Stegostoma tigrinum: one gene and its partner. The protein of the gene in region 2 interacts with the protein of the main gene of each other region in a pairwise test. Links are inferred from orthologs where the notes say so. Each region holds a gene or a part of one and is shown on either strand. Other genes may lie near its edges.

What was found.
Region 1: the proteins of abtb1 (region 2) and elongation factor 1-alpha 2 interact in binary tests that used the Homo sapiens proteins (3 or more experiments, as listed by UniProt). The two-hybrid records come from large-scale screens. The link is inferred for Stegostoma tigrinum from reciprocal best matches to the Homo sapiens genes ABTB1 and EEF1A2.

What each region holds. Positions count from the first base shown.
Region 1 is NC_081372.1:3,116,554-3,131,452, reverse strand, and holds the start of elongation factor 1-alpha 2, read right to left. Parts: upstream 5,957-14,899; 5' UTR 5,823-5,956; intron 5,171-5,822; 5' UTR 5,149-5,170; coding exon 5,005-5,148; intron 180-5,004; coding exon 1-179. UniProt on the Homo sapiens protein: Translation elongation factor that catalyzes the GTP-dependent binding of aminoacyl-tRNA (aa-tRNA) to the A-site of ribosomes during the elongation phase of protein synthesis.
Region 2 is NC_081364.1:5,668,919-5,684,760, forward strand, and holds the start of abtb1 (ankyrin repeat and BTB/POZ domain-containing protein 1), read right to left. Parts: upstream 6,481-15,842; 5' UTR 6,313-6,480; coding exon 6,257-6,312; intron 1-6,256. UniProt on the Homo sapiens protein: May act as a mediator of the PTEN growth-suppressive signaling pathway. May play a role in developmental processes.

The DNA of each region.
Region 1 (14,899 bases), on a different chromosome or scaffold from region 2:
TGAGAGGTTCCAGTGATCATGTTCTTAATGAAGTCCCTGTGGCCAGGAGCATCAATGATGGTGATGTAGTACTTTGGTGTCTCAAACTTCCACAGAGAGATGTCGATAGTGATACCTCGCTCACGCTCAGCCTTCAGCTTGTCCAGGACCCAGGCATATTTGAAGGAACCTTTACCCATCTGAGCAAGAGGAGAGATCAGAGCAGGTTCTCCTTCTCAATGTTCGGTATCAATTAGACAACTGTATTACAAGGATCATCAAACATCTACCACAGAATCACTACCTTTTAAAACACCGTGGAAATCAATCTGAAGATTACAACAGAAGTATTTACAAATCATTACTTATATAGATTGCAGAGCACAGAGGAAGGCCATTCAGCCTCTCCTACCTGTACAAGCTCTCTGCAAGAGCTACTCAATTCGTTCCAATGCTCTTCTGTCGCCCCATAGCCCTGAATGTTCTTCCATTTGCAATTATTTAACAAGTTCCCTTTCAGGATATTGAAGCTTATTGTAATCTATATGTGATGATGATGTTTAACTTGAATCAAGTTCCTGAACAACAGACTCATGGCTGGATGTTGATTTTTGTCATTTGGTTATGTTCCTATGGAACATGCTGGAACATTTTCCTACCCTGAAGGTGCAATATTAATTTGTTTGCTGTTGTTGGCTACAGGAACCAGTGACTACGAGAAGCTCCAGGTCCTCCCTCCAAAATGTCACAGAATCCACACAGTGTGGAAGCAGGTCATTCAGCCCAGCGACTCCACACCTAGACCCACCTGATCATTGTAACCTTGTATTTCCATTGCCAATCCAATCCACCTAACCTACACATCTTTCAACTATGGGAGGAAACCCATGCAGACATGGGGAGAATGTGTAAACTTGGCACAGGCAGTCACCCAAAGGTGGGGTTGAACCCAGGTCCCTGGTACAGCTGGGCAGTAGTGCTAACCAGTGAGCCAAGACACTATCTGCCAGTGACAGCAACACCTAGGCATCTATTACCCTCACTAACCCTAAGGGTAGAGTGGGAAGTGAGGTGCCTGCTTGAATATCACCATTTCGTAGGGTAGTCAAGATTTAAAAACTTTGCCGTGGGTCTGGAGTCACATGTAGGCCAGACCAGGTAAGGATAGCAGATTCCCTTCCCTAAGGGACAGTCGTGACACAGATAGGTTGTTATGACAACAGACAGTGGTTTCATGGTCACTATTACAACTGCTCTCTCCTCCAGATTTTTATTGGGTTCATACTTCCCCATCTGCCATGGCAGGATTCAACCCCAGGTCCCCAGAACATTAATCCGAGTCTCTGGTTTGCTGGTCCAGTGAAAACCCCACTACACCACTGGCACTACCTGTCCAGTGATGTAACCTTTCTGGTACTGATGTGACAGAGATGGTTACAGAAATGGGGAGGAATGAAGCCATGGAGGGGTTTGAATACAAGGATAAGAATTTTACATTCGAGGTGATCCTGGACTCAAGCTAAATCACTGTGGGTTGTATTATTGTAGAGCTGGCTCACTTGTTTTAACAATAGGCTGCCTGTGTGTGGGACCACCCATGTGGCATTTTGAAGTGACTGTCCTGCTGCCTGATCTGAATGGGAGCTTCCAGCTAACTGCAAGGTCACATACCTTAATACCAATGTTTGAGGGCAGCTCAGCAAGCACAAGAGGGACCAGTGTGTGCAGGGAACATGGTGGGAGTTAGGACAAGGGCAGCAGAGTTTTAAACAAGCCGAAGTTTGGGGTTAGGTGACCAACCAGGACAGCATTGAATAATTGAATAATAACACCAAGGAGTGTAGATGCTAAGGATACCACTAGCACCGTGTCTCAGTGGTTAGCCATGCTGCCTCACAGCGCCAGGGGTCCAGATTCAATCCCACTCTCAGGGGGCTGCACATTCTCCCTGTGTCTGTGCAGATTTCCTCCGGGTGCTTCAGTTTCTTCCTACAAACCAAAGATGTGTGGGTTCAGTAGATTAGTCGTGGGGGATGTGGAGTTATAGGGATATGGTAGGCTGAGTCTGAATGACACACTCTTTGGAGGGTCAGAGCAGACCTAATGGTGCATGGCCACCTCCTACACTGCAGGGATTCCAAGAGGTAAGGCAAAATCAACTCCTGGGGAAATCTCAGCAGCTCCAAGTTAACATTTTGAGTCCAGTTGCCTTTCAAAGGTCCATTAGCTCTGTTTCTCTGTCCATAGATGGTGCCAGACTTGCTGAGTTTCTCCAGCTATTTCTGTTTCAGGTTGGAATAATCAATGCAGATGTAACAGACACAGTGGGCAGTTTTGGCTGAGGCAGGGGTCAGGGTGATGGAGTGGTGGCAACAGGTAGACCTGAGGCAGGATACATGATCAGCAATTCACATCAGGATCACAGGGAGTCCCTGAGATTGTTAGCACTTGGGTAGGGCCGGGGAACAGAGGGTGCCCCAAAGCTTCCAGCGTGTTCAACCATTTTCAAAGCACATTCTCTGCATCTAAAGCATCTCCCATGAGACGTTTAAAGAGTATAAAAATGGAAAGGGGGTGAAGACAGAGAGCAGAATTGCTGAATTTGCTGCAGAATCACACTGGAAATTAAAAGCAAAATAAAAATTGATGCTGATGGTGACTAAGGCCCCGCAATCACAGATAATTCCCAAAAAATACCAGCTTTGAAAAAAACAATAGCAAAAAAGGCACACAAGTAAAATTAAGTCATTTCTGCAGCCATCATATACAAATCACTGGTATATTCCGAATGCCTGGAGAATTACAGCTGTTGATGGCCTGACCCATTAGTGAGTCAGCAAAGACACAGAACTTGGAATAGATCGCCACGGAAACCAAGGACATGTTGCATTTATATAGCGCTATTAATGTAATGAAGGAATCCAAGATTCATAGCAACGTTATCAAAACAATTTCATCAAACCACTGAAGGGATTATTACAACAGGTAGGTTTTAAGGAGGAAAGGGAGCTAGAGAGACAGAGCTGTACAGCGAGATTTCCAGAGGTCACCAAAGGCAAGGGACTAAAATGAGGATGTACTAATTTGGAGGTGTACAGCAATTTCAGAGGTTAATGGGGCTGGAGGAGATTACAAAGACAGAAGGAGCGAGGCATAGAAAAGGGTTTAAAAAGGAGAGTGAGAAATTTGTGAATTGAGTTGCTGCTGTGGGGTGAGAGGCAATGTGGGTCAGCAGACGGTGAGCAAAAGGGATTTGGCATGAGCACAACAGCCAGGAAAACATCACACAGTCAGGCCTGGAGGTCACAAAGTGTAACATTATAAACAGAAGCCATTTCAAAGGATGGCACCCATGTTAGATGCTGGCTCATTTCCATCAATTTGTACCTTGCAAATTACATGATGTGACCAGTCACATGAGAAAACTGCTAATTGTTATCCAATATGCTGGAATGGTTGGCGTTCCAATCATTTTCCATGACAGGCTTCCGACTCTGATTGGACAGAGTCCTGGAGATGTCTGTATTTGAACCTGTACAACCAACCCCCCCACCCGATGCCAAAGCCAACGATACCATCTTCAATCATTTTAGAATCAATGAAGAAATTGGAAAGCTGAGCATCTTTTTAAAAAACATCAGACTTTTCTGCTGGTGGCTCACCCAGTGACCTGGACGTTAATTCAATCCCAGCAAGGTCCAGAATCAAGCCTGGAGGGTTGACAACAAATAGACAAGCATCAAAATGGTAAGGACATAGCTCATTTTCTTAAAAAGTGGTATTTGACTTCCATCTGCAAACAAATCCTGTTCCAGAAAATTAAAATGAAAGGAAGGAATCTTTAAATATATAAATATACTGTAAAAAAAAAGGAAGTAATCTTAACGCTTACTGTACTGGATTGAGGGACCGAGTGGGCTATTTTTGCTCCTAATTCTGGTTTTGTTCTGTATGTTCAGGGGTGTGGGCCAAGCTCTATGAACGTGCACTGGGACCATTCTGGAAATGTGACTGTGCCAGAAGCAATGATAGGAAAATGCTGGGAATTGTTTGGGTACTGATGGGAACATCTTAGGAAGCTGAGTGGGATAAGTTCTGGGAAGCTGCTGGAATCAGGGCTGGAATGGAGCTGGGACTGGGATAGAAAATTGGCGACGGAGCTGGAACAGAGCTGGGAAGCTGTTCAGATGCAGCTGGGAAGCTTCTGGGACAGAGCTGGGTGCAGCTGGGATGGAGCTGGGGAGCTGCTGGGGGAAGGTAGGGTTAATTTTGGAAGCTGCTGGGGTGAAGTCAGGATACATTTGAAATGCTGCTAGGATGGACCTGGGAAGCTACTGAGAAGGGGCGGGGAACCTGTTGGGGTGGAGCTGTGACAAATTTAGGATGCTGCTGGCTTGGAACTGGGAAGCTGCTGGCATGGAGCTGGGATAAATTTGGGATGCTGCTGGGATGGAGCTGGGGAGCTGCTGGGACAGAGCTGGGTGCAGCTGCAATGGAGTGGGAAGCTGCTGGGATGGAGCTGGGATAGATTTGGAATGCTTCTGGGATGGACCTGGGATGCTAATGGGAAGGAGCAGGGAACCTGTTGGTGTGGAGCTGGGATAAGTTTAGGATGCTGCTTGGCATGGAGCTAGGAAGCTGCTGGAATGGAGTTGGAATAAATTTGGGATGCTGCTGGGATGGAGCTGGGGAACTGCTGGGGTGGAGGTGGGATTAATTTGGGATGCTGCTGGGATAGACCTGGGAAGCTACTGGGAAGGAGAGGGGAGCCTGTTGGGGTGGAGCTGGGATAAATTTAGGATGCTGCTGGCATGGAACTGGGAAGCTGTTGGCATGGAGCTGGGATAAATTTAGGATGAAGTTGGGAAGCTGCTGGAATAAATTTGGGGCGCAGCTGATATGGAGCTGGGAAGATGCTGGGATGGAGCCGGGATTAGATTATATGGGATGGAGCTGGGAAGGTGCTGGAATAAATTTGGGGTGCTGCTGGGATGGACCTGGGAAGCTGCTGGAGCTCTGCGTTACCTCTGCAGCCTCCTTCTCGAATTTTTCGATGGTCCTCTTGTCGATGCCACCACATTTGTAGATGAGGTGCCCAGTGGTGGTGGATTTACCGGAGTCGACATGGCCAATGACAACGATATTGATGTGGGTTTTCTCTTTGCCCATGGCTGGGGCTGGGGACGGATCACTGCAGCAAACAGACACAGACACACAAAGGGTGGGGGGTGTGGAGAGAGAGAGAGAGAGAGAGAGAGAGGATTCAGGGAGAAGGTAATCTCTGAGTCACACTGGAAGTGAAAAGGTCAAACCCCGTTCCCGTTGCATGGGTCTGTTAAAGAGAGCGCTGCTGTCATACACCTCCAATGGGGCTTGCCCAGATCGAGGGGCAATATCCAGAGGATCCTGGCAGGTGCCGGGTTTCAGTTCATGGAGATTGCTTCAAATAGAACTCACTCTCAATCCAGCCTTCTGCCTCAATGTAATTATCTTTCCCAATCTCCCAATTCCATCCTCTTAAAACAATTCTTTGTCTGGAATGATGACATTATTAGATTGTCTCGCTTTTATTTCCCATCTAATCTCCTCTCCCTGCGTGTTGAAGGAAAGCTAGTCTTATTCCTGAAATTAATCTCTCTGTCTCTGTCCTATCTATCTATTCCTCCCTCCCTGTCTATCTCTCTCCCTCCTTCCATTCTACTTAATCCTGTTCCATGTTCGCTCTGTCACACAGTCCCCCGTTTGTAGACCTGCACCCTCTTTAGTGACAGCAGACCTCCCCCCCGCCTCCGGTCGGTAACACAGCTCTCCCCGGGGTGCGTGCCTCTCCTGCCCGCTCTTACCTGCGCTGCTGCCGGGGAGAGCCGCCGCTGCCCCTCGCTGCTTTTTATTGCGGCGGGCGATAGGCGGTGTCTCAGCGAAAGAGCAGCTGCGCAAGTACGAACACACACCGCCCCCACCTCCCTCCCTGCCTTCTCCCTCCCTCCTACAGCAATGCGGTAAAGAATATCCAGCAAAATAACACACTGCGGAGAGAGAGATAGAGGGATTAACACAGAGAGGGGGAGGATGGAGAGATAAACAGAGGAGGGGAGGGAGGAGAAAGGGATAAACACAGGGAGACAGAAAGAGGGAGGGAGGATGGAGAGATAAACAGAGAGGAGGGATGGAGGATAAAGGGATAAACACGGAGAGAGAGGAGGAAAGAGCGATGAACAGAAGGAGACGGAGAGAGGGAAGGAAAGAGGGGGAGGAGGATGGAGCGATATCCAGAGGGAGAGGACAGGATAGAGAGATAATCACAGGGAGACAGAGAGAGGGAGGGAGGATAGAGGAATAAACAGAGGGGGAGGGAGGCCGGAAAGAGAGATAAAAAGAGGGAGAGATAGAGGAAGGGAGGATAGAGAGATTAACTGGGAGAGAGGGAGGGAGGTTAGAGAGAAATAAACAAAGGGAGACAGACAAGGAGGGAGGAAAGAAGATAAACAGGAGAAAAGAGAGGGGGAGGCAGGATAGAGGGATAACAGAGAAAAGGGAAGGAGGATACAGAGATTAACAGGAGAGAGAGGGTAGGAGGATAGAGAGATAAACAGAGGGAGACAGCGGAGGAGCTGAGGGAACAAGAGGCGAAGGAAAGTGAGGAGGACAGGAGAGAAAGGCGAAGAAGCGACAGTTGGGGAAAGAAAGATTCCGGGGTAAAATATACCCTTTATATCACAACAAATAAAATACCCCAGATGTTGCAGCTTAATACCCATCCCTATGTGTATTGCAGAGAATGGCAGCTTCTCTGTAAGTTACAGAGAGCAGCAGCTCTTAGGTATAGTATGGAGATTGGCAACATCTGAATATATTAGAGAAAGGTAAAGGTTTTGTGTGTTGAACAGAATAACACGGCGTGTGTTATAGAGGATGGGCCTGAGTGTATAATAACCGGGGTACCATCTCTTAAGTACACTACAGAAAATAGCAAACCGTGTATCACATAGAGTTGTATCAGAGATAATGGGAACTGCAGATGCTGGAGAATCCAAGATAACAAAGTGTGGAGCTGGATGAACACAGCAGGCCCAGCAGCATCTCAGGAGCACAAAACTGAGATGCTGCTTGGCCTGCTGTGTTCATCCAGCTCCACACTTTGTTATCTATAACATAGAGTTGGCAACCTTACGGTACATTATAGAGAATTCCAGGCCTTGTGTATATTATACAGCGTAGTAGGCTTCTTCCGTGCTACAGACAATAGTATCAGCGGTGGGTCATTGTAGAGAACAGCCTCTGTGCAGACTAACGGGTGTAGGAGCCTCTTTGTTTCGCGTCGCGTAAAGCATTTCCTGCATGTATTAGAGAGAATAGCTGTTCTTTTCCATATCCTAGAGGATTACATTCCCTACGTATATCATAGAGCGCAACAGCCCCTGCAAAGACGATAGAATACATGGAGCTCGTGCTCGATCTAGGAAATTAACTCAGATTGCGAAAGAAACTCAGCAGGTCTGGCAGTTTCTGTGGAGCGAGGAACAGAGTTAACATTTCGAGTTTGATGTGACGCTAAAGACAAGTCAAACTGGACTCGAAACGTTAACTCGATTTCTCTGGCCGCAGATGTTGTCAGACGTGCCGAGTTTCTCCAGCAATTTCTGTTTGCTTCAGATTTTGAGAACCTGTGCTATGTTGCTTTCATGTGGGTGTGTAATGTAGGAAATTACAGCTCCTGTGCACATTGTAGTAAGTAGCAGCCCTTCTATACTGTAAAGAATAACAATCTCTGTGTGTGTCCTCCAGAATCAGAGAAGGCGACAGCGTAGTTGCAGCGTTAATGTTCCCTGGGCTAGTTCTCCAGAACCCCAGGGCAAGTGTTCTTGGGGCGTGGGTTTGAATTCCACCGCGCCAGATGGTGAAATTTGAATTAGATTTTCAAAAATAGAACATAGAAAAATCTGGAAGTTAAAAACTATCTGGTGGAAACCATGTGATCACAGTTCTATTGTCAGACAAACCGACTTAGTTCACAAATGTCCTTACCCGGTCTGGTCTCCCCGAGACTCCAGGCCTACAGCAAAGTGGTTCATTCTTAACTGGTAAGTAGGGATGGGTGACAAAACCAGGGTCAACCATGTTATATGAACAAGTTTTTTTAATAAAAAGAAAGCAATTAGTGTGTGTCTTGTATATGATGTACAAAACGCTAGTGCAGCCTCATTTGGAATATCGCGTGCAGTTCTGGTCGCCCCCATTACAGGAAGGATGTGAAAGCATTGGAAAAGGTACAGAGGAGATTTCCCAGGATGTTGCCTGGTCTGAAGCGCAGGCCCTATGAAGAAAGGCTGAAGGACTTGGGTCTGCTCTCATTGGAGAGAAAGAGGCTAAGAGGGGATTTAATAGAGACATACAAGATGATCAGAGGATTAGATAGGGTGGGCAGTGAGAGTCTTTTTCCGAGGATGATGATGTCAGCTTGTAAAAGGGGGCATAGCTACAAATTGAGGGGTGATAGATTTAAGACAGATGTCAGAGGCAGGTTCTTTACTCAGAGAGTGGTAAGGGCGTGGAACGCCCTGCCTGCCAATGTAGTTAACTCAGCCACATTCGGGGCGGCACGGTGGCTCAGCGGTTAGCACTGCAGCCTCACAGCACCAGGGACCCAGGTTCGATTCCAGCCTCAGGTAACTGTCTGTGTGGAGTTTGCACATTCTCCCTGTGTCTGCATGGGTTTCCTCCGGGTGCTCCGGTTTCCTCCCACAGTCCAAAGATGTGCAGGCTAGGTGGGTTGGCCATGCTAAATTGCCCACAGTGTTCAGAGGTGTGTGTGGGTTATAGGGGGATGGGTCTGGGTGGGATGCTGCAAGGGGCGGTGTGGACTTGTTGGGCCGAAGGGCCTGTTTCCACACTGTAGGGAATCTAATCTAATTTAATCAGGGGCATTTAAACAGTCCTTGGATAAGCATCTGGATAATGATAGGATAGTGTAGGGGGGTGGGGCTTAGATTAGTTCACAGGTCGGCGCAACATCGAAGGCCCAAGGGCCTGTTCTGCACTGCATTGTTCTATGTTCTATGATAGCAATTCATGTGGAACTCCATGTTTCTCTGTGAATAATCAAGTTCTCTTTTTGCATTGATTCACAGGAGTGGGTTTCACTGTCCATTTATTGCCCACCCCTAATTGCCCAGAGAACAGTTAAGAGTCAGCCACATTGCTGTAGGCCTGGAGTCACATATAGGTGAGACCAGGTTAGGATGGCAGATTTCTTTCCCTAAAGAATGTTAATGGCCCCGAAGGAAATTCCAGGCATTCATGGGCCTCATGATGACTTAATGGTCGTCATTAGACTCTTACTTCCAGACATTTTTTTAATATTGAATTCAAATTCCACTGTATCTGCTTTGATGAGCCCAGGACCCCAGAACATTACCTGAGTCTCTAGATTAACAGTGCAGTGACAATACCATCAGGCCATCACCTCTCTCAAAATTCATTGTTGAACAATGATTCTATGATTATTTTTCTCAACATCCCCATCGCAAAACTGCTTCCCTCTCCACCACGGTAGTAGCACAGGTTAATGGGAGGTTTAATAAAGATGAGACAATTTAAGAGACTAAACAGGGAGAAAATGTTTCCATCGGTAAAAAGATTTGCAACAGGAGTACTAAGATTTAAGACAATCAACAAAAGGGTAGTAAAAGGAGATTCAATAATAAGTTTTAAAAAGGAATTGGATAAATATTTGACAAAGAAAAAAGAGGATGAGTTATGGGAAATGAGCTGATGAGAAACACCCATGAGATCATCCTTTCCAAGAGCTAGGATAGCCATCATGGATCAAATGGCCTCTTTCATAGAATCCCTACAGTGTGGAAACAAGCCATTCAGCCCAAACTGCCCCTCCAAAGAGCACCCCACACACTACCCTTGAGCTGTAGCCCTGTACTACTCAGCAATGATCCACCTAATTTACAAATCCTTGGATGCAACAGGCAATTTATCATGACCAATACCACCTACCCTGCACATCATTGGACTGTGGGAGGAAACTGGAGCACCCGGAGGAAACCCAGGTAAACACAGGGAGGATGTGCAAGCTCCACACAGACAGTCCCCTGAGGGTGGAATTGAACCCAGGCCCCTCAATACTGTGAGGCAGCAGTGCTAACCACTGAGCCACCGTGCTGCCTTTCTGCGCTCTTTGGTGTCAATACTTTCACACAAATGCCAAGCATCAAGATATGACCTGCAAGGAGTCAGTGCTGAGAAACAACTGAGAAACAGGCATTGAAAAATACAAATAAATTGTCAGCCTAGGCCTGGCATGGATCTGGATGGCCCACACTGCACGACACACCAAGTGTAGGGGATCTGGTTGGTCCACACTGCACAACACACCAAGTGTAGGGGATCTGGTTGGTCCACACTGCAGGACACACCAAGTGTAGGGGATCTGGTTGGTCCACACTGCACAACACACCAAGTGTAGGGGATCTGGTTGGTCCACACTGCACAACACACCAAGTGTAGGGGATCTGGTTGGTCCACACTGCACGACACACCAAGTGTAGGGGATCTGGTTGGTCCACACTGCAGGACACACCAAGTGTAGGGGATCTGGTTGGTCCACACTGCACAACACACCAAGTGTAGGGGATCTGGTTGGTCCACACTGCACAACACACCAAGCATGGGGATCAAATTGGCCTGAACTTCAAGTGGTTAGAATTGACCAATCAGCAATGTTCAAAGCAAACCATTGGATTATATACAATATGCAGTCAGGAAAATACAGATTATGCCTTATGGTACTGAAATAAAAAGCTGCTCCAGCTGAGTTTCAAGTGAAATCTGTCCAGAATGTTTCTTTCATTATTTTCTTGGACTGCTGTTCCTCGTAATATGCACAAGAAATGACATTATTTCTAATACACAGGGAGAGCTAAACCCTGTGATGTTCAAAGGGGCTGTTGAACTCTACAAATGTATGCGACATTCAATGCACTAATAGACACAGGGACTGCTACCCTCTGCACTATATACATATGTCTATATTCTCTATGAAATACACAGAGACTGCTACTCTACAATATACCCAGAGGTTGCTATTCTCTATAATATGTTCTGAGTCTGCTATTTTCAAAACACACATAGGGGCTGCATTCTTTATAATGCATGTTGGGATTTGTTATCTTCTGTAATAAAAACTGGGGCTGTTATTCTCTATAATATACACAGGGTGTGCTATTCTCCATAGTGTGCCCTGGGGCTGTTTTTATGCTGGAAACCCCGGAATTCCCTCCCTAATAGCATTATGGGTCAACCTACAGCTGGAGGACTGCAGCGGTTCAAGAAGGCAGCTCACCCCCACCTTCTCAAGGGGCAGCTAGGGACATGTAATAAATACTGGGCCAGCCAGCGATAACCACATCCCGCAGAGATGAATAGCAAAAACATGCACAAAGTTAGGCATTATCCATCATGTAGGTGACAGCATAAAAGTACAACAGGATATTGATAGACTAAGTGAATCGGCAAAATTGTAGCAGATGGAGTTCAAAGCGTGAAGGAGGTTATACATTTTGGAGAAAAAAAGGATAGACTGGGGTAGTTTCTGGGTGGTTTGAGGTTTAATGTAGTTGGATGCCCAAAGATACTTGGGGATTCCGGTGCAGAGATCTTTAAAATGTTACAAACAGGTGCAGAAAATCATCAAGAAATCTAATGGAATCCGGAGGACTGGAATATAAGGAAGCAGAAGTTATGCTGCAGTTACACAAAACCCTGGATAGACCCCAATTGGAGCACTGTGAGCAGATCTGGGCACTGCTCCTTAGGGAGGATATACTGGCCTTGGAGGGAGTGCAATGTAGCTTTACGAGAATTGATTGGGTCTCAGGGGTTAGGTTACGAGGAGAGATTACACAAACCCAGCCTGCTTTCTGTAGAATTTAGAAGGCTAAGGGTTGATCTGATCGAAACCTTCAATCTACTACGAGGAAAAGACAGGATAGATAAAGATAAGCTATTTCCACTGGTTGGGAATTCTAGAACTCGGGGCATGAACTGAGAATTGGGGCCAGACTGTTCAGGAGAGTTTTTTGATTATTATTCATTCACAGGATGAGGGTTTCACTGGCCAAGCTGCTATTTATTGCCCATCCCAGAGGACAGTTATGAGCCAATTACATTGCTGTGGGTCTGGAGTCACATGTGGGCCAGAGCAGGTCGGGATAGCAGTTTGCTTCCTTAAAGGACTTTCGTGAACCAGATGGGGTTTTCCTGACCATTGGCAATGGATTCATGGTCATCATTCAACTCCTAATTCCAGATTTTTATCAGATCCAAATTCCATCATCTGCTGTGGCAGGATTTGAACCTGGGTGCCCAGAATATTTCCTGTGTTTCTGGATTAACAAATCAGTGACAATACCACTAGGCCATCGCCTCCCATTGGAAGCACTGCTACGGGACAAAGGGCACTAGGTGATTGGAACTCTCTTCCACAAACAGCGGACGACGCAGGATTAGTTGTTAATTCAGGAACGGAGATAGATGAGCTTTTGTTAAGCAAAGGTGCTGAGGGATATGGTCCAATGGCAGGAATATGGAATTAGGCCACAAGTCAGTCATAATCTCATTGAATGGTGGAACAGGCTCAAAGGGCTGAATGGCCTAGTCCTGTTCACATGCTCCTTTTGTCTGGTGAGGAGAGGTTGGACAGACTTGGGGGGGCTTGTTTGCACTGGTGTTTGAAGGGTAGTGAGTGACTGGATTGAAGTATCTAAGATCCTGCTGGTCTTGACAAGGTGGCTGTGGGAAGGATGTTTCCTTTGGGGGGGGCAGTGCAGAACCAGAGGGCAAGGTTTTATACAGGGATGAGGTCATTTTAGTTTTCTCTGAGGGTCATGAGTCTTTGGAACCTTCCATCTCCAATGTGGGCAGGAGCAAAGTCTTTGAATATTTTAAGGCTGTGGGAGAGAGATTCTTGTTGAACAAGAGGATGAAACAGTATTGGGGTCAGACAGGAATGTGGAGTCATCAGATCAGTCACAATCTTATTGAATAGCAGAGAAAGCTCAAGGGGCTGAAGGGCCTAGTCTTGTTCCTAACTTAGATGTTTTTATAAATTTGCAAGGAAATCTATTGGGGATAGGTGTTTCAAACAGCCAGCACAGAGACAGGGAGCTGAATGGTCTCCTTCAGTCCTCTGAGGTTTTATAATTAAACATTTTCAGGGAGAAATCATCCACAATGGAGAAGAATATCCCAGAAAGGGAATGAGAAGTGGCTCTGAACAGTTCAGCTGCTGTACCGAAAACAGCCCTTCACTGTGTGACCTCTCCCTAGGATTTGTGAATGATGGAAATAGCTGGACTGAGGTGTGTGTCAGAATGGAGCAAATGACTTGGTATCAGAGCTTCACATTACTCTGTGCACATGATCACTGAGCGACTGAAATCTAGGACAAGCAGCTGCCTGAAACCTGACACTGTCGATCCAATCATCTCCTGCTACTAGCAAATAATCCTCTGTACTTCACGGGAACAGAGTGACTTGAGCTTTGCTTTCTGGACCTGAGCAGGTTTGCAATTGTTAGCAATTCTAAAGCGCCCTTAATTCTTCATTTTCAAATCCCTCATATTGTCTCACTCCTCTTTAATTCCCTCCTGTTCTCTGAAACCTCTCTGCTCCTGTAATTCTTGTCTCGTGTGATTCTCACTCTGCGGCTGAAGGTTCTGCTGAGTCTGGAAGCACTGAGGGCCCACCTTCTATCCGCTTCAGAGTCTGAAAACCTGCTCTTTTGATCATAATCCATAATATCTCCTCATGTATCTCAATCTGAGCTGGCTCTTTGAAGCAGTTAAAATTTATAAAAACATATAAGTTAAGAGCAGCAGGGGGCCATTCAGCCCCTCACATCTGTTCCACCATTCAATGGGATAATGGCCGATTGTGGCCTAACTCCATGTATCTGCCTTTGGACCATATCGCTCAGTACCTTTGTTTAACAAAAAAGTATCTACCTCAGTTTCTAAATTAACAACTGATCTAGCATCCGCTGCTGTTTGTGGAAGAGAATTCCAAACCTCTCCCATCCTGTGTGGGTGTAAGTGCTCCCTAACATCTTTCCTGAATGGCCTGGGTGTAATTCTCGGACTATACTCCCTAGTTCTAGAATTCCCAACCAGTGGAAATGTCTTATCTTTATCTATCCTGTCTTTTCCTGTTAATATCTTGAAGACTTTGATCAAGTCACGCTTTAAAACTTCTAAATTCTTGTGATAACAGGCCTAATTTGTTCAATATCTCCTCATAACTTAACTCCTATAGTTTAATCAAAACTATCCCTGAAACATAAAAACATAGGAGCTAGGAGCAGGCGTGGGCCTTTCAGCCCTTCGAGCCTGCTCTGTTATTCGATACTATCGTGGTTGATCCTCTATCTCAGTGCCATATTCCTGCTTTCTCCTCAGACCCCTTGATGCCTTTCATATTTCTGTGTTTATCTATCTCCTTCTTGAATATAAACAGCAACAAAAACAAAGTTGCTGGAAAAGCCCATTGGGTCTGGCAGCATCTGTGAAGGAAAACACAGAGTAATGTTTCGGGTCCAGTGACCCTTCCTCAGAGTTCTGAAACATTCTGGACCCCTGGATCTAGACTCCCCCAAACAGGAAGACATCCTCCCTGCACCAGGTATGTCCAATCCTGTGAGAGTCTTTGGATTTCAAACATGTCCTCTCTTGTTCATCTAAACTCTAGGGAGCAGGGCCCCAGCTGAACCAACTTCTATCATTGGAAAAACATATTGGAATAATTTGCCACATTATAGGTGCCATGTAGTTGAAAGTTTTAGTTGTTATCACTGCGAGCTTGTGGGTTCAGGTTTTGGGCCAGTGCCAAAGTTCCCATGGAAACTGCGGCGCTG
Region 2 (15,842 bases):
CACTGAACTGAAACTACAGTTGCAGCTCACTGGAGCGTTCGTAGCCAGTCACCTGTGCTACATAAGCACATTTTCTCCAGAAAGCCAAGATTTTAAAAGCCTGCAGCTAGAAACAAGAGGAGAATTCACAAACAGTTAAATTCAGACCACTATAGCTTCAAGCTTTTAGACTGCCAGTAACGTGACAGCCTGCAATAAAGGTACAAGAGGTACGGGTGACATTCTAAGCTGGGAACAAAAACAGAAATTGCTGGAAAAGCTTAGAAGTGAAGAATGGGTCTGGGTGGGATGCACTGAGGTTCAGTGTGGAATTGTTGGGCTAAAGGGCCTGTTTCCACACTGTAGGGATCTAAAAAATACACATGTTTTGCAACAGCAGTAGATAAAGCAAAAGGCCTAAACATAACAATTGCTTGTGATATGTCTGTAATAACAGTGCAATAACGGTCTTGTTTCTACTACATTTTAATTAATTGTCTTAAGTTCTCAAAGATTGATGTGTTTTGTACAAAACAGAAGCTGGTGCTACATGGAGGGGTACAGACAAAGAACACGAGAAAGTATCATCCTCATATACCCTCCTTATCTCAAAGCTGCCCCACCCTCCCCCTAGTCATTGATACTTCTATTAAGAGGAAAAGGTTCTCCCCATCTATCTTATACACCTCAGAACTTTGTATAAATCAATCAGAAAGACCTTCAGCCTTTTCTGCTATTAGGAAAACAGCCCCAGCCTATCTAGTCTCTCTTCATAGCTGAATCACCCCATTCCGTGCTGGATCCTGGTGAATTTCTTCTGTACTCTCTCAAGTGCAACCACTTCCTTCCTCGTGTGGCAACCAGAAGTGCATACAGAACTTTAGCAGTGGCCTTCTACATTATGTACAGCTCCATCATAACCTCCTTGCTCTTGTCTTCAATGCATTGGCTAATAAAGGCAACTCTCCAATAAGCCTTCTTGAATATCTTATCAATCTGTCCTGCTGCCTTCAAGAACTTACGGACAGGAAAACCAAAGTCACTTTGATTCTCTGTACTTCCTAGGAACCTATCATTCGTGAGATTATCTTCTATAACTATATGATGATGATGATATTGGAGACTGCTGGCCGTACCTTGCTAATCCACAGGGTCAGCATTGTTGGCAGGCCAGAGAATTTACTAAACCCAGGAGGACAAACATATTCTATGCACAAACACTTTAAAGACCACACCTCCACTTGTATCAATGGATGAATGATTTTCCAATTGGGCACTCAAAAGACAAAGCACACCAAAAGTAAAAAATATGAATAAAAATTGATGCATAACCCTTAGAGGGAAAATTGGCAGTATTGCGGATGCTAGGCCAGAAGGGTTGCTGGACTAGACAGCGTTGGTTAGGAAGCTACAACCTGTACTTGCATACTCCAAGTCTTCAGCAGAACATTTACACCTGCAATCTCAATCTCTTCGGTTACATCTAACTGACAGCCACAACACTGCACTTTGTCCAAGGCCATTATAGCCTTCCAAAGATGTGCTGTCCAGAACTATTCACAGTAACTTCTGGTGAGATCTAATCAGGGCTATGTGTAGGTGAAGTACATCTTCTACCCCTAGCATTCTTCCTTTCAAGATATCATGACTATCAGTCCTTCAGTCTTATGGTTATATTCAGTCCCTGTTCATGATATTTTAATTATCTTTGTGCCTCAACTCCTAAGTTTCTTTGAAAGTGCACTATTTATAACTTTCCATAATTGGAAGACACTGCACTCCATACCTTTTTGCAGTCCTAAGCAGATGATTACACATTTGCCTACCTTGAAATCCATCTGCAACCATTTTGTGCAGTCACTTAATCAATTAAGCTTCTTCCCAGCCCTTCAGAGGCACAGACATCTGCTCAGATGTAGTTTCACAGGTGTCAGCAGTCCGCGGCACATTGTTTAGCTTGGGTGGCAATGCAACTGAAATATCTGTATTCCCTGGAAACTACATGCAGTACATTCTGGTACATCTTCGAACAATTTTGTGCTTTTTGCCTTTTGCCTTCTTTTTATGCCATCTCTTTGAGGCTCTGAGGCAGCAACAGCTGCCATGGAACTTTATCATGGTTACAGAGTTATGCCCCTGCTCTCTCATTTCCTGTTGAGAGTTTGTGCCTAATTTTGAAAATTCAAATTGGGCTCACAGTGGGAAAAAGTTTAGGAATCACTATTCTATGTGAAAAATTATTCTATATTAAAAGAGTTTGTAATTAAGGATAGAATGATTAACCATACTGAAAATGTTTCGTTGACTAGAAAGAACCAGCTTGGATTTGTTTTTTTAAGTTAACCTATTGTTTTCTAATCAACCACTTGAGATGTTATTACACACGTCTGGAGCAGGTGGGACTTGAAGCCAGGTCTCTTGGTCCAGGGGTAGGGGCAGTGTCACTGTGTCACAGGAGGGCCCTCAGCATGGATTTGTAAAGAATAGGAAGCCTTGCCTGATTGGTTGGATAGACTTTAACCAGCTGTTCAAAAAAATGTAATAAATATTATTTATTTGGGCTTCCAAAAGGCATTCACTGAAGTCCCGCATGAGAAATAGTTAGCTAGAGTTGGAGCTCATGCAATTTAAGTCAAATTACTGACCTGTTTGAGAAGTTGGCTGATGTGCAGGAAAGAGAGATGTTGACTCTGGTATTATGACCAATGATGGCCCACTGGAATCTGTGTTGCCTCATCTGTTTACTATGTTTCATAAATATTAAATCAAGGTATTGCATAAATGGATATCAGTTTGCTGATGACACACAGGTGGAATTTCAAGTGGTATAGATAGAAACATAACTACTACTAATTCAGAGAGGTGGGGCATAACTCTGTAACCATGATAAAGCTCTATGGCAGCTGTTGCTGCCTCAGAGCCTCAAAGAGATGGCATAAAAAAAGGCAAAAAGTGCAAAATTGTTCGAAGATGTACCAGGATGTACGGCATGTAGTTTCCAGGGAATACAGATATTTCAGTATTTCAGTTGCATTGCCACCTAAGCTAAACAATGTGCCAAGGACTGCTGACACCTGTGAAACCACATCCAAGCAGATGTCCCTCACACCCCGTCCCCGCCACAACCGCCCCAAGAGGATCCCCCTCGTTCTCAGACACCACCCCACCAACCTCCGGATACAACACATCATCCTCCGACACTTCCGCCATTTACATCCTCCGACACTTCCGCCATTTACAATCCGACCCCACCACCCAAGACATTTTTCCATCCCCACCCTTGTCTGCTTTCCAGAGAGACCACTCTCTCCATGACTCCCTTGTTCACTCCACACTGCCCTCCAACCCCACCACACCCGGCACCTTCCCCTGCAACCGCAGGAAATGCTACACTTGCCCCCACACCTCCTCCCTCACCCCTATCCCAGGCCCCAAGATGACTTTCCATATTAAGCAGGGATTCACCTGCACATCTGCCAATGTGGTATACTGTATCCATTGTACCCGGTGTGGCTTCCTCTACGTTGGGGAAACCAAGCGGAGGCTTGGGGACCATTCTGCAGAACACCCCCGCTCGCTTCGCAATAAACAACTGCACCTCCTAGTCGCAAACCATTTCCACTCCCCCTCACATTCTTTAGATGACATGTCCATCATGGGCCTCCTGCAGTGCCACAATGATGCCACCCGAAAGTTGCAGGAACAGCAACTCATATTCCGCTTGGGAACCCTGCAGCCCAATGGTATCAATGTGGACTTCACCAGCTTCAAAATCTCCCCTTCCCCCACTGCATCCCAAAACCAGCCCAGTTCGTCCCCTCCCACCAGAGCACCACACAACCAGCCCAGCTCTTCCCCTCCACGCACTGCATCCCAAAACCAGTCCAGCCTGTCTCTGCCTCCCTAACCTGTTCTTCCTCTCACCCATCCCTTCCTCCCACCTCAAGCCGCACCTCCATCTCCTACCTACTAACCTCATCCCACCTCCTTGACCTGTCCGTCTTCCCTGGACTGACCTATCCCCTCCCTACCTCCCCACCAACACTCTCCTCTCCACCTATCTTCTTTTCTCTCCGTCTTCGGTCCGCCTCCCCCTCTCTCCCTATTTATTCCAGAACTTTCACCCTATCCCCCTCTCTGATGAAGGGTCTAGGCCCAAAATGTCAGCTTTTGTGCTCTTGAGATGCTGCTCGGCCGGCTGTGTTCATCCAGCTTCACACTTTATTATCTCAGATCTAGAATTGTTGTTTGCCTCACATATGACAAGTCCTTCATCCCCAGGATCATTCTTGTGAATTTTCTCTGCAACCCCACCCCACCATATCCTTCCATAGATTTGATTTGTTGTTCTCACATGTACTAAAATAACAGTGAAAAGTGTTGTTTTGTGCATTCTACAGGCAGATCGTACCGTACAAAGTGAATCAGATAGTAGAAGTGCCAGGTCAGAAGGCTGAATTGAAAGACTTCTGAACTGCATCAAACAGCCTGTCCCTTCAGCTGTTTGCAACAAGTAAGGTACTGCCCACATCCAACCAGTCCCCGCTTCTAAACTTTACGACGGTGTGTAACATTAAATATGAACTGCAACTGGACAATGTTTACACAATAATTCTGAACATGCAAGAATTATGCTAGTGACCAACTTAAGACGGTCAGTGGGGCTTTCACTGTGGTGCACTTGCATGTATGTACTGGAAGCTTTGCACACTAATACACAATGCAGACAGAAAATCCATGTACATACACTACACCTGTACAGGTTGAGGTTACCATGAAGGACTCACCTCAATGTCTTTCCTGAGATGTGGTGTACTTCAAGTTATACCACCACAACTCTCCTCTGTTTAATAATAGAGAGGAGTGCTTTGGTCCAGTAGAACTATGGCAGCTTTATCTTTTCCTTCATACCAATGTCAAGAGCTGTTGTTGCTCCTGCACTAATACTAAGGAATCTTACAATAATAAATTCAGAATTGGCAGGTCATTCCACTAGGTCTACTTTCCAGCCCATCTCCTCTCCTCCCACCTCCATTCTGCCTCACTGCCATCCCTACTCCACTTCTTGCAACCTTCTCTCTCTCTCCATTTCTCCTGCTTTTGCTCCCTTCCTGCTCCAATTCTCCCTTCCCTTCTACTTCCCCTCCCCTCACCTTTCTCCCTTCCCTCTATCCCTCCATTGAACAATCCCATCTCTTAAGTTACCTCCCCACCTCTCCTCTCCAACACCCCCATTCCCGAGTCATTGTTGTTCATCATTTACATATACAATGAGGATGAGAGTATAGCAGGCATGGTTATTGAGTTCTATGGATGACACCAAAATTGGTGGTATAGTGGATGGTGAAGAAGGTTATCAGTGGACCAAGGAATTGCAGCTAGAGTTTAATTTAGATGAATGAGAAGTGATGCATTTTGGTAAGAAAAACCAGGGCAGAAACCTAGGGGTGCAGGTACATAGTTCCTTGAAAGTGACATCACAGATAGACAGGATGGTGAAGGCAGCGGCTGGCACACTTGCCTTCATCGGTCAGAACACCGCGTACAGGCGTTAGGGCATCGTGTTACCACCATACAAGTCACTGGTAAGACCACATTTGGAGTACTGTGTGCAATTCTGGTCACACAGTTTTAAGGATGTTTTTGAAGTGGAAAAGGTGTAAAAATGATTTATAAGGAAGTTACCGAGACTAGAGGGTTTAAGTTATAAGGAGAGGCTCAGGCTTTTTTAACCCAGAATTTAGGAGAGCTTATAAAAGTTTATAAAACCATCAGGAGCATAAAATAAGGTGAATAGCCAAGGTCTTTTCCCAAGGTAGGTTCAGGGTGAGAAGAAAGCTTTATAAGAGACCTAAGACAACTTATTCACACAGTGTGCTGGTGTATGGAATGAGCTGCCAGAGGAAGTGGTAGAGATGAGTCGAAGTGCAACATTTAAAAGACATTTGAACACGTACATGGACGAGAAAGATTTAGAAGAATGTCTGCCAAACACAGGCAAATGGGACTAGTTCAGTTTGGGAAACCTGGTCGGCACAGGCAAGTTGGACAGAAGGGAAAGCTTCTGTACTGTGTCACTCCACTACTCTCTCCATCACACCCCCATTCCTCCACCCACCCCCTTACTGCCATCACCCCATTTCCCCACCCACCCCTCTCCTCTACTCCCCCCATCTCCCTCTCCCCCAATTCCCCCACTTTCCCTCACATTTTCCCCCTCACCCTCAGGGTTTTACCCCACACTAACCGACTGCACTTGGGCCTCAGCCGCACTCACCGAACTCTGGAGAGTTCCCCCTTCCTGCAGCTGGTGAATAACTCGCTCGTGTCCATCTCTCTCCTTCGCTGAAGCTGGGAATCGATACATCGACTCCGTGACGCCGGAGCCCAGTGTAGTTTTACTATTTATTATTTAAAGCTCGCTCAGTGAGCTGCTCTCCACAGGCGGTGTTTACGACCGTTTCGAATGTAAACACGACCGACTGCTGTAACTGCACCTGCGCACTTTGCCCATCAGCGCGCCGCCTGCCACCCGGGAGGAGGAACAGATCCTCCCGACATTGTACAAACTGCCCATCACAGCGCCGCCTGCCGCCCGGGAGGAGGAACAGATCCTCCCGACATTGTACAAACTGCCCATCACAGCGCCGCCTGCCGCCCGGGAGGAGGAACAGATGATCCTCCCGACATTGTACAAACTGCCCATCACAGCGCCGCCTGCCACCCGGGAGGAGGAACAGATCCTCCCGACATTGTACAAACTGCCCATCAGCGCGCCGCCTGCCGCCCGGGAGGAGGAACAGATCCTCCCGACATTGGACAAACTGCCCATCACAGCGCCGCCTGCCGCCCGGGAGGAGGAACAGATCCTCCCGACATTGTACAAACTGCCCATCAGCGCGCCGCCTGCCGCCCGGGAGGAGGAACAGATCCTCCCGACATTGGACAAACTGCCCATCACAGCGCCGCCTGCCGCCCGGGAGGAGGAACAGATCCTCCCGACATTGGACAAACTGCCCATCAGCGCGCCGCCTGCCGCCCGGGAGGAGGAACAGATGATCCTCCCGACATTGTACAAACTGCCCATCACAGCGCCGCCTGCCGCACGGGAGGAGGAGCAGATCCTCCAGACATTGTACAAACTGCCCATCACAGCGCCGCCTGCCGCCCGGGAGGAGGAACAGATCCTCCCGGCATTGTACAAACTGCCCATTCGAGCGCCGCCTGCCGCACGGGAGGAGGAACAGATCCTCCAGACATTGTACAAACTGCCCATCACAGCGCCGCCTGCCGCCCGGGAGGAGGAACAGATGATCCTCCCGACATTGTACAAACTGCCCATCACAGCGCCGCCTGCCGCCCGGGAGGAGGAACAGATCCTCCCGACATTGTACAAACTGCCCATCAGAGCGCCGCCTGCTGGTCGGCAGGAGGTAACCGTCCTCCCGACATTGTACAAACTGCCCATCAGAGCGCCGCCTGCTGGTCGGCAGGAGGTAACCGTCCTCCCGACTTTGTACAAACTGCCCGTCAGAGCACCGCCTGCTGGTCGGGAGGAGGTAACGGTCCTCCCGACATTGTACAAACTGACTGGAAGCCAAGAGCCCATGGGATCCAAGGAAATTTAGCAAATTGGGTCCCCATTTGGCTGAGTGTCATGATGCAGAGAATGATGGTTGACTGGGTTTCTTTTTGTGACTGGAAATCTGTGTCTGTTTAGGTCCACAGGGGAGAATGTTGGCCCTAGCGAGTTTCGAGAAGATTTGTAGCTCAGGTTGAGGTTCTGGATGTGAGATTGCTCGCTGAGCTGGAAGGTTAGTTTTCAGACGTTTCGTCACCATTCTAGGTAACATCATCAGTGAGCCTCCGACGAAGCGCTGGTGTTATGTCCCGCTTTCTATTTATCTGATTAGGTTTCCTTGGGTTGGTGATGTCATTTCCTGCCATCCATCACCAACGCAGGAAATGACAATATGGATGGGCTGGCCTGTGACAAATGGAAATCAATCTGGATACATGTGATACACTTGGGCAAGAAAATGAAGACAAAAGAAATGAATGGGAAGCACCATGGATGAAGAGACCTTGGTGTGTGTATACACTGAACCCTTAAGGCCTGGTGGATAAAGTGGTGAAGAACACACACGGGACAATTTATTTTCTTTTTTTATTTAACTTCTTTTTCTAATCAACCTGTTCTGAGGAGTTATTACTCGTGTCTGGAGCAGGTGGGACTCAACCTGGGCCTCTTGGGCCAGGGGTAGGGACATTACCACTACACCACAAGATGGCCCCCAAATACCATTCACTTTCAACAACAAGCAGAGACAGTCTACTTTGCCTGGACACAAAGGCGGCACTGCTGTTTCATTGAGACAGAGTTTAAGAGCAGTGTGGTGGTAATGGAACTGTATAAGACATTGGTTAGGCCACAGCTAGAATATTGTGTACAATCCACCTGATAGGAAATGTGCAAATGCCCTGGAGAGGGCGCAGAAGAGATTTACCAGAAAACAAAAAATTGCGGGATGATGGCAATTTGAAACCAAAATAGAAATTTCTGGAGAAACTTAGCAGGTCTGGCAGCATCTGTGGTGAGAAAGCAGAGTAGATGTTTAAGGTCCAGTGACTCTTTTTCAGGACTATTGAACGATCAGACAATGAAAGTGGAATGGGAGGCAGGAGAGATCTGAGACAGCACGAGGTGATGCAGATGGAGAGAGAGGTCGAGAGTTCGCATACGGCAATGAATTGCACTGAGGTAGGTTTCAGGATGGACGTACCCAGAAGAGGTGTCACATGAACTAAACACGAAAACAAAACAAAGAATTACGCAGAGATAGCAGGAACTGCCGATGCTGGAAAATCTGAGATAACAAGATGTAGAGCTGGATGAACACAGCAGGCCAAGCAGCATCAGAGGAGCAGGAAAGGCTGACGTTTCGGGCCTAGACCCTTCTTCAGAAATCTTTCTGAAGGCTGACATTTCGGGCCTAGGAAAGTTCCTGCCATTTGTTTCTAATGTGATTATTTACTGTTCTTGCTTTGTCTTCAAGATTTTCTTTGTAAACAGCTATGATATTTTAATTTCCCCCAACTTACCCAAATAAAACTTGTGCTTGTGACCTTAATACATCCTTATTAACAGATCTGAAATCTAATTTATAGATCTTCCACTTTAATCAAAAATCATCTTCAGTTAGACAGTGTGCTTTAACGTTTAAATTTCATATTTTGTCTTAATTCTGCTTCATGATGACCTCCATCAGACCATAAGATATAGGAGTAGAATTAGGCCAATCAGCCCATCGTTTCTGCTCCAGCAATCGATCATTGTTGATTATATTTCTTAACCCCATTCTCCTGCCTTCTTCCCATAACTCTTGACCTCCTTACTAATCAAGAACCTGTCAACCTCTGTCTTAAATACACCCAATGGCTCAGCCTCCACAACCATCTGCAGTGATGAGTACCACAGATTCACCACCCTCTGGCTGAAGAAATTGCCTCGGTAAGATTTATTTCTTGTCATGTGTATCTTGTTACAAAATGTGGTGAAAAGTGGTGTGCAGCATCACTACACTCTGGCGCCATCTTAAAATGCAGAAAAATAAAACAAATCAGAATATAAAGGCAGAAAAATGTGACAGTGAAAGAAGTGCCCACCTTACAGTCCTTTTTATTAAGTGCTCCATCGTGGGCCAGGTGGCCAGGCATGAGGCCCCTTCTCTGCGCCCACCCCCTGCTAGAATAAAAGTCATCATTCTTTGGTGCCATCCTGCCTCCATCAATGCCCAAACCGCTATGGGTCCTTGGTGGACCTTGCCAATGCAGACGCCACCAAAGTGGCTGGGAAGTGCAACAGCCCCACCAAGTACTGCCACCACAAGCCCGCTTTGGGGCTCACCTCGCCAGTGCAGCTGCTGCTAGGTCTGGTAGTGGGCCCAAACTCGCCTCTGCCCATCCCGCCATGAGTCTGTGCCGATGATGCCTTTGCCAAGTCTGAACCCTTCACCAAGCAGTAAGTAAAGTAAAATAGAAGTGAACTATAAAAGGAAGAGAGGTAAAAAAAGGAAACAAAGAAAAGCAGACAAGTCCTGGGCTCAGAAGCTCTCCACTACCTGAATGTTGAGTTCCCGCTTTTGATCTCCTTATAACCATGATTCCCTTATGGCTATAAGATATACTCATTTACCTCAATTTTTCCTATTAGTTCATCCATCTTATCCTGAATGCTTCAAGCATTAAGATACAAAGCCTTCATCTTTGTTCTATTATCAAATTTCCCCACAACTATATCGTTCCTCGATGCAATATGACATTCTCACTTCCTTTTATCTTCTGGTAACAATCATCCCCAACCCCATCATTATAATCCTACTTTCTCCTTTACGTTTGATTTTATAATTTTCCATGCAACTGAACCAATGGACGACATGTCCATCATGGGCCTCCTGCAGTGCCACAATGAAGCCACCCGTAGGTTGCAGGAACAGCAACTCATATTCCGCTTGGGAACCCTGCAGCCCAATGGTATCAATGTGGACTTCACCAGCTTCAAAATCTCCCCTCCCCCCAGTGCATCCCTAAAACCAGCCCGGCTCGGCCCCGCCTCCCTAACCTGTCCTTCCTCACACCTATCCCCTCCTCCCACCTCAAGCCGCACCTCCATTTCCTACCTACTAACCTTATCCTGCCCCCTTGACCTGTCCATCTTCCCCGGACTGACCTATCCCCTCCCTACCTTCCCACCCATACTCTCCTCTGCACCTATCTTCTCCTCTATCCATCTTCAGTCTGCCTCCCCCTCTCCCCCTATTTGTATCAAAATCCTCTCCCCATCCCCCTTTTCTGATGAAGGGTCTCAGCCTAAAACGTCAGCTTTTGTGCTCCTAAGATGCTGCTTAGCCTACTGTGTTAACCCAACCCCACACTTTGTTATCTTCAACTCTCCACACTCTATTTAGTTTGAAGCCTAATCACAACCGTAGTTATAAGATTTACCAGGACTCCAGTGCAAGCATGATGCAGGTGGAGCTTGTACCATCAGAACAGTTCAGTATTGCTGCTAATGTCCCATGAAATCAAACCTGAAGGGTCTAGGCCCAAAACGTCAGCTTTCCTGCTCCTCTGATGCTGCTTGGCCTACTGTGTTCATCCAGCTCTACGTCTTGTTATCTCAGATTCTCCAGCATCTGCAGTTCCTACAATCTCTGAAACTGTTTCTCCCACATCTATTTTTGAGTTACACGTTTACCTCTATATGTTGACCCTGTGACAGTTTAGCTCATGGCTCAAGTGGTAACCTAAAGATCATTACCTTTTTGGTTCTGCTTTTTCATTCAGCACCTACCTGCTCATATTCCCTCAGCAGAACCTCTTTCCTCTTTCTCTACCTGTATTGCTGGCCCTACATGGACTACAACCATCTAGATCTTTCCCCTCCCACTCCAAGTTCCTCTGCAACCCAGATGCAATATCCTGAACCTGGGCTGGAGTAACAGCCATCAATTTGTCTTAACACGGGGATGCAATCTTAACAAGATGTAGTTTATGTCATGATAATGATTCTCTACAAAGTTACCTAAGTGAATTAGACATCGTTATTAAGAGGATTGAGAGGGCCCCGTTGTAGTGCAGAAGTAATGTCCCTACTCCTGGACCTGGAGGCCCTGGTTCAGGTCCTACCTGCTCCAGAAGTATATAATAACATCTCAGAACAAGTTAATTAGAAAAAAATTCATATAATTAAAAAAAGCTTGGAAGACATGGATGATTCATTTGTCCCCTTTGAGTTTCAGAGCATAATTGCCTGGTTTTCCCAGCTAACCCTTGCATTTTGAGGGATTTTGTCAAAAGCTGTGTTAAAACCCCTATACACCATATTTTCAGTCATCTGTGTGGCTTCCTTAAAAAAAAATCAAGTTAGTCAGAAACTGTCATCTCTTAATAAATCCATAATGCCTATCCTTGAGAAATCTCAATCTGTGCTTTTTTAAATGACAAATTATTCAGCCTGTCAGAACTGATTCCAATAATTTGCCCGCTCCTGAAGTTGAACTGACTAGCCTGTAATTATTCAGTCTGTCCCTCGCTCTATTTTTAAACGAAGGTACAACATCAGCATTGTTCCAATCCTTTGGCACCGCTTTTTATTCAGTGAGGATTAGAAACTGATTGTCTCACGTTTATATAAATTTGATAGTGTTTCCATTACACCAGCCTCTGTGTAGCCCCGACTGTATCTGTGTCCACACAGGATGTACCATGGATGAGTATCTGCACTGTGACTATACTGCAGCATTTGGAAGCAAGAAGAATGAGGTGTAAATAGAGCAATAGATTCTGCTGACACCATTGCTCTTTGTCCTAAAGTATCTTTGTACTTACCCTGGCCTCTGTATCCAGAGGTGATGATGGGAATGAAGTGCTCAGCAATGTCTGGGGCGGGGAGATGCACAGCAAACAGGGAGCCAGTGAATTAGGATGGTCAGGGATTTGGAAATCAGCAGGTCTGCATCCTGTTGTTTCTTTTGCAGTTAATCCAGCTCTAGGGATTAATCCAACATGACAGGTGATAATCCTATCAAAATCCTCTCTTCCTAATACTGTTACCTTTATTAGTCAGTGCATTGAGTGTAGGAATAGGGATGTCATGTTGCAGCTGTACAGGATGTTGGTTAGGGCCACTTTTTGACTGCTGTGTTCAGTTCTGGTCTCCCAACTGCAGGAAAGGTGTTGTTAAACTTGAAAGGATGCAGAAAAGATTTACAAGGATGTCGCCAGGTTTGGAGGGATTGAGTTATAGGGAGAGGTTGAATAGGCTGGGCTATTTTTCTTGAGACTGAGGGGTGACCATATAGAGGTTTATAAAATCATGAGGGACATGGATAGGGTGAGCAGCCAAGGTCTTTTCCTCAGGGTCAGGGAGTCCAAAACTGGAGGGCATAGGTTTAAGGTGAGAGGGGAAAGATTTAAAAGGGACCTAAGGGGCAATCTTTTCATGCAGAAGATGGTGTGTGTATGGAATGAGCTGCCAGAGGAAATGGTTGAGGCTGGTACAATTACAGCGTTTAAAAGACCTCTGGATGGATACTCGAGTAGGAAGGGCTTAGAGGGATATGGGCTAAGTGCTGGCAAATGGGACTAGATTAATTAAGGATATTTGGTTAGCGTGGGCAAGTTGGACTGAAGGATCTGTTTCCGTGCTGTACAGCTCTATGCTTCTATTTAATACTTCACACTTAACAAAAATATCTGTATTGTCCCCTCTCTGTTATGAAGACAGTCACAAAGTACATTAAGAACCATATCAACATCATCTACGTCTATACATAGGTTACCTTTTCAGACCTGCTTTTATGTTGGTTTCCTTTAGTTACCCTCTGTGCTTACTGTATTGATAAAACATCTTTGGGCTCACTATGATTTTGTTTGCAAACATTGTTTTATGCATTCTCTTTCCCGTCTTAATTTCCATTTTGATTTCAATCCTCCTCTTTCTATATTCTAGGCCCAAAACATCAGCTTTTGTGCTCCTGAGATGCTGCTTGGCCTGCTGTGTTCATCCAGCTCCACACTTTGTTATCTCGGATTCTCCAGCATCTGCAGTTCCCATCATCACTTCTGTATTCCTCTTGGTTTTCTGTATTAGAGTTCTCAGTGCAAGACATAGGCCCTACCTTATCTTAGCCCAGAATCTTCCCAACTACCAGGATGGTCTAGATTTATGGGTCCCTCTCTTTTTTACTTTTTGGGGATATGTTTACCTCGAATCTCTGGAATCTCCTTTCAATGTTTCTGGTCTGGCACTGATTTATCTTTGAGTGATTGTTTCTTGTCTACTTCGGCTGACTCAATCCTCAGTTTCCTAAAATTGGCCTGACCCAATTTAGAATTCTAACTCCTGTTCTATGTTTGTCCTTTTCCAAGATTATATTAAAAATAGTGAATTATGATTGCTACTGACAAAATGCTCTCCCACTGCCTTTTCTTCCATCTGTCCAGCTTCACCTGCTAAAACTAAATCAAAACAGCACCCCCTCTTGATGGGCATGTTGAGGGAGTGCTGCTGTTTTGAAGGATCTTCCTTTGGAATGACACATTAAACAGGGCATTATGTGACCTGAAAACAGAAACCTGCAGCAAACCACCTACATCAACAGAGCTGAGGTGGCAAGGATTGAGATCGTTACTTCAAGGAGTACCGAAAACCGACAACTTATCACGCACTGTCCCACAGTCAAGAAGGCATAATAATGCCTCTCAATCCTCGGGCAGTTTAGGAAATTGGGCATGTCCGTAAGGAGCCTCACTTTCTTTTACAGATGTACCATAGAAAGCATATTACCCAGGTGTATAACTGCGTGGTACAGCATCTGGTTTTCTTCAGTACTGGTGGACATAAAATAAAACCATTGCACCATTTGAAGAAAAGCAGGAGTCTTCTCTTCAGTGCCTTTTAATCAATCAATATCATTTGGGAGTTTTTTCTGTGTGTAATTTGCTGTCTTTCCAACGTTACAACTATTTCGAAAACACGTCTTTGCAAAACACTTTTTCCTGGCTTCATGTCATTTCAGATGCCAAATAAAAATTAGTCTTTGTTTCTTTGGATCTTTGCTGTGTCATTTCTTGTCCTCTCAGCATCCTATTGTTTATCTTGACATGATTACATTTGCCTCTAAATCATTATGTTCAATACAAGATTGTTTCCAAGTTAGTTTAATATATATATGAAAGAGAGTGACATGATTTCTGACTTACTTAGATGTATCACATTGCTCTGATGATTGTGGGTGTGAAGTATCTCAATTACAGTATTGCTGTGCTCTTTCTTTTGTGTTGGATCAGTGGGTGGTAGCAGTGCCTCTGAGTCAGAGGTTGTGAGTTCAAGTTCACCCCATGTAGGAAACTGAGCACACAATCTAGGCAGAGATTGCCACTGCGATTCAGGGGCAGTGCTGCACTGTTTGGGAGGTAACGCCCTGTGAATGTGACATTTCTAGGAGACCCCATCTGCTGTACTTTCCTGCAAATGGGTCATATGACAGTGCTTCAAAGTGCAGAATGGAAATTATCGCTTGTATTCTGGCCAATATTTATCCCTCAATCAGCACCACTGAAAAAATAGATATCATCTGTTAATGACGTGTTGGCACTTGACAGAATCCCTACAGAGCAGGGAGCTGGCCATCAGCCCACTGAGTCCACACTGACTGTCTGAAGAGCATCCCACCCACCACCCTATCCCTGTATTTTCCATGGCTAATCCACCTAGCCTGCACATCTTTCGACTGTAGGAGGAAACTGGAGCACCTGGAGGAAGCCCATGCAGACACAGGGAGAGTGTGAAAACTGCGCGCCTGAGGCAGAAATTAAACGCCGGTGCCTGGCACTGTGAGGCAACAATGTTAATCACTATGCCGTGCTGGTATTTGTGGAACCTTGCTGTGTGCAATCTGACTGCAGCATTTCCTCCAGTACAGTGGTGATACAATACCAGTGAAGTATCTTTGGGGTGTTCTGAGATGATGAAAGAAATGCAAAATGTTCTCGTATACGAACTGCAATGATTCCTTCAGGGGACATTGGAGTCACTGGCAAGTCAAGCATTTCTTTAACTGCCCTTGAACTGAGCGGTGATTTCGGAGTCAGCCTCATTGCTGTGAGTCTCACATTGTCAAATGCTACACGCTTGTGGATTATCAAAAAATAGATAGCTATTTAAGAACCAAGATTGCATCTTTTCATTACTTTCTGTATGTTTAATTATGGACTGAAATGAATTTTTTAAAAGAAGTTTAGAATCCAAGGATTGCTGGAGGATTACTGTATATATTTCAAAGCAAGTAGCCCGATAC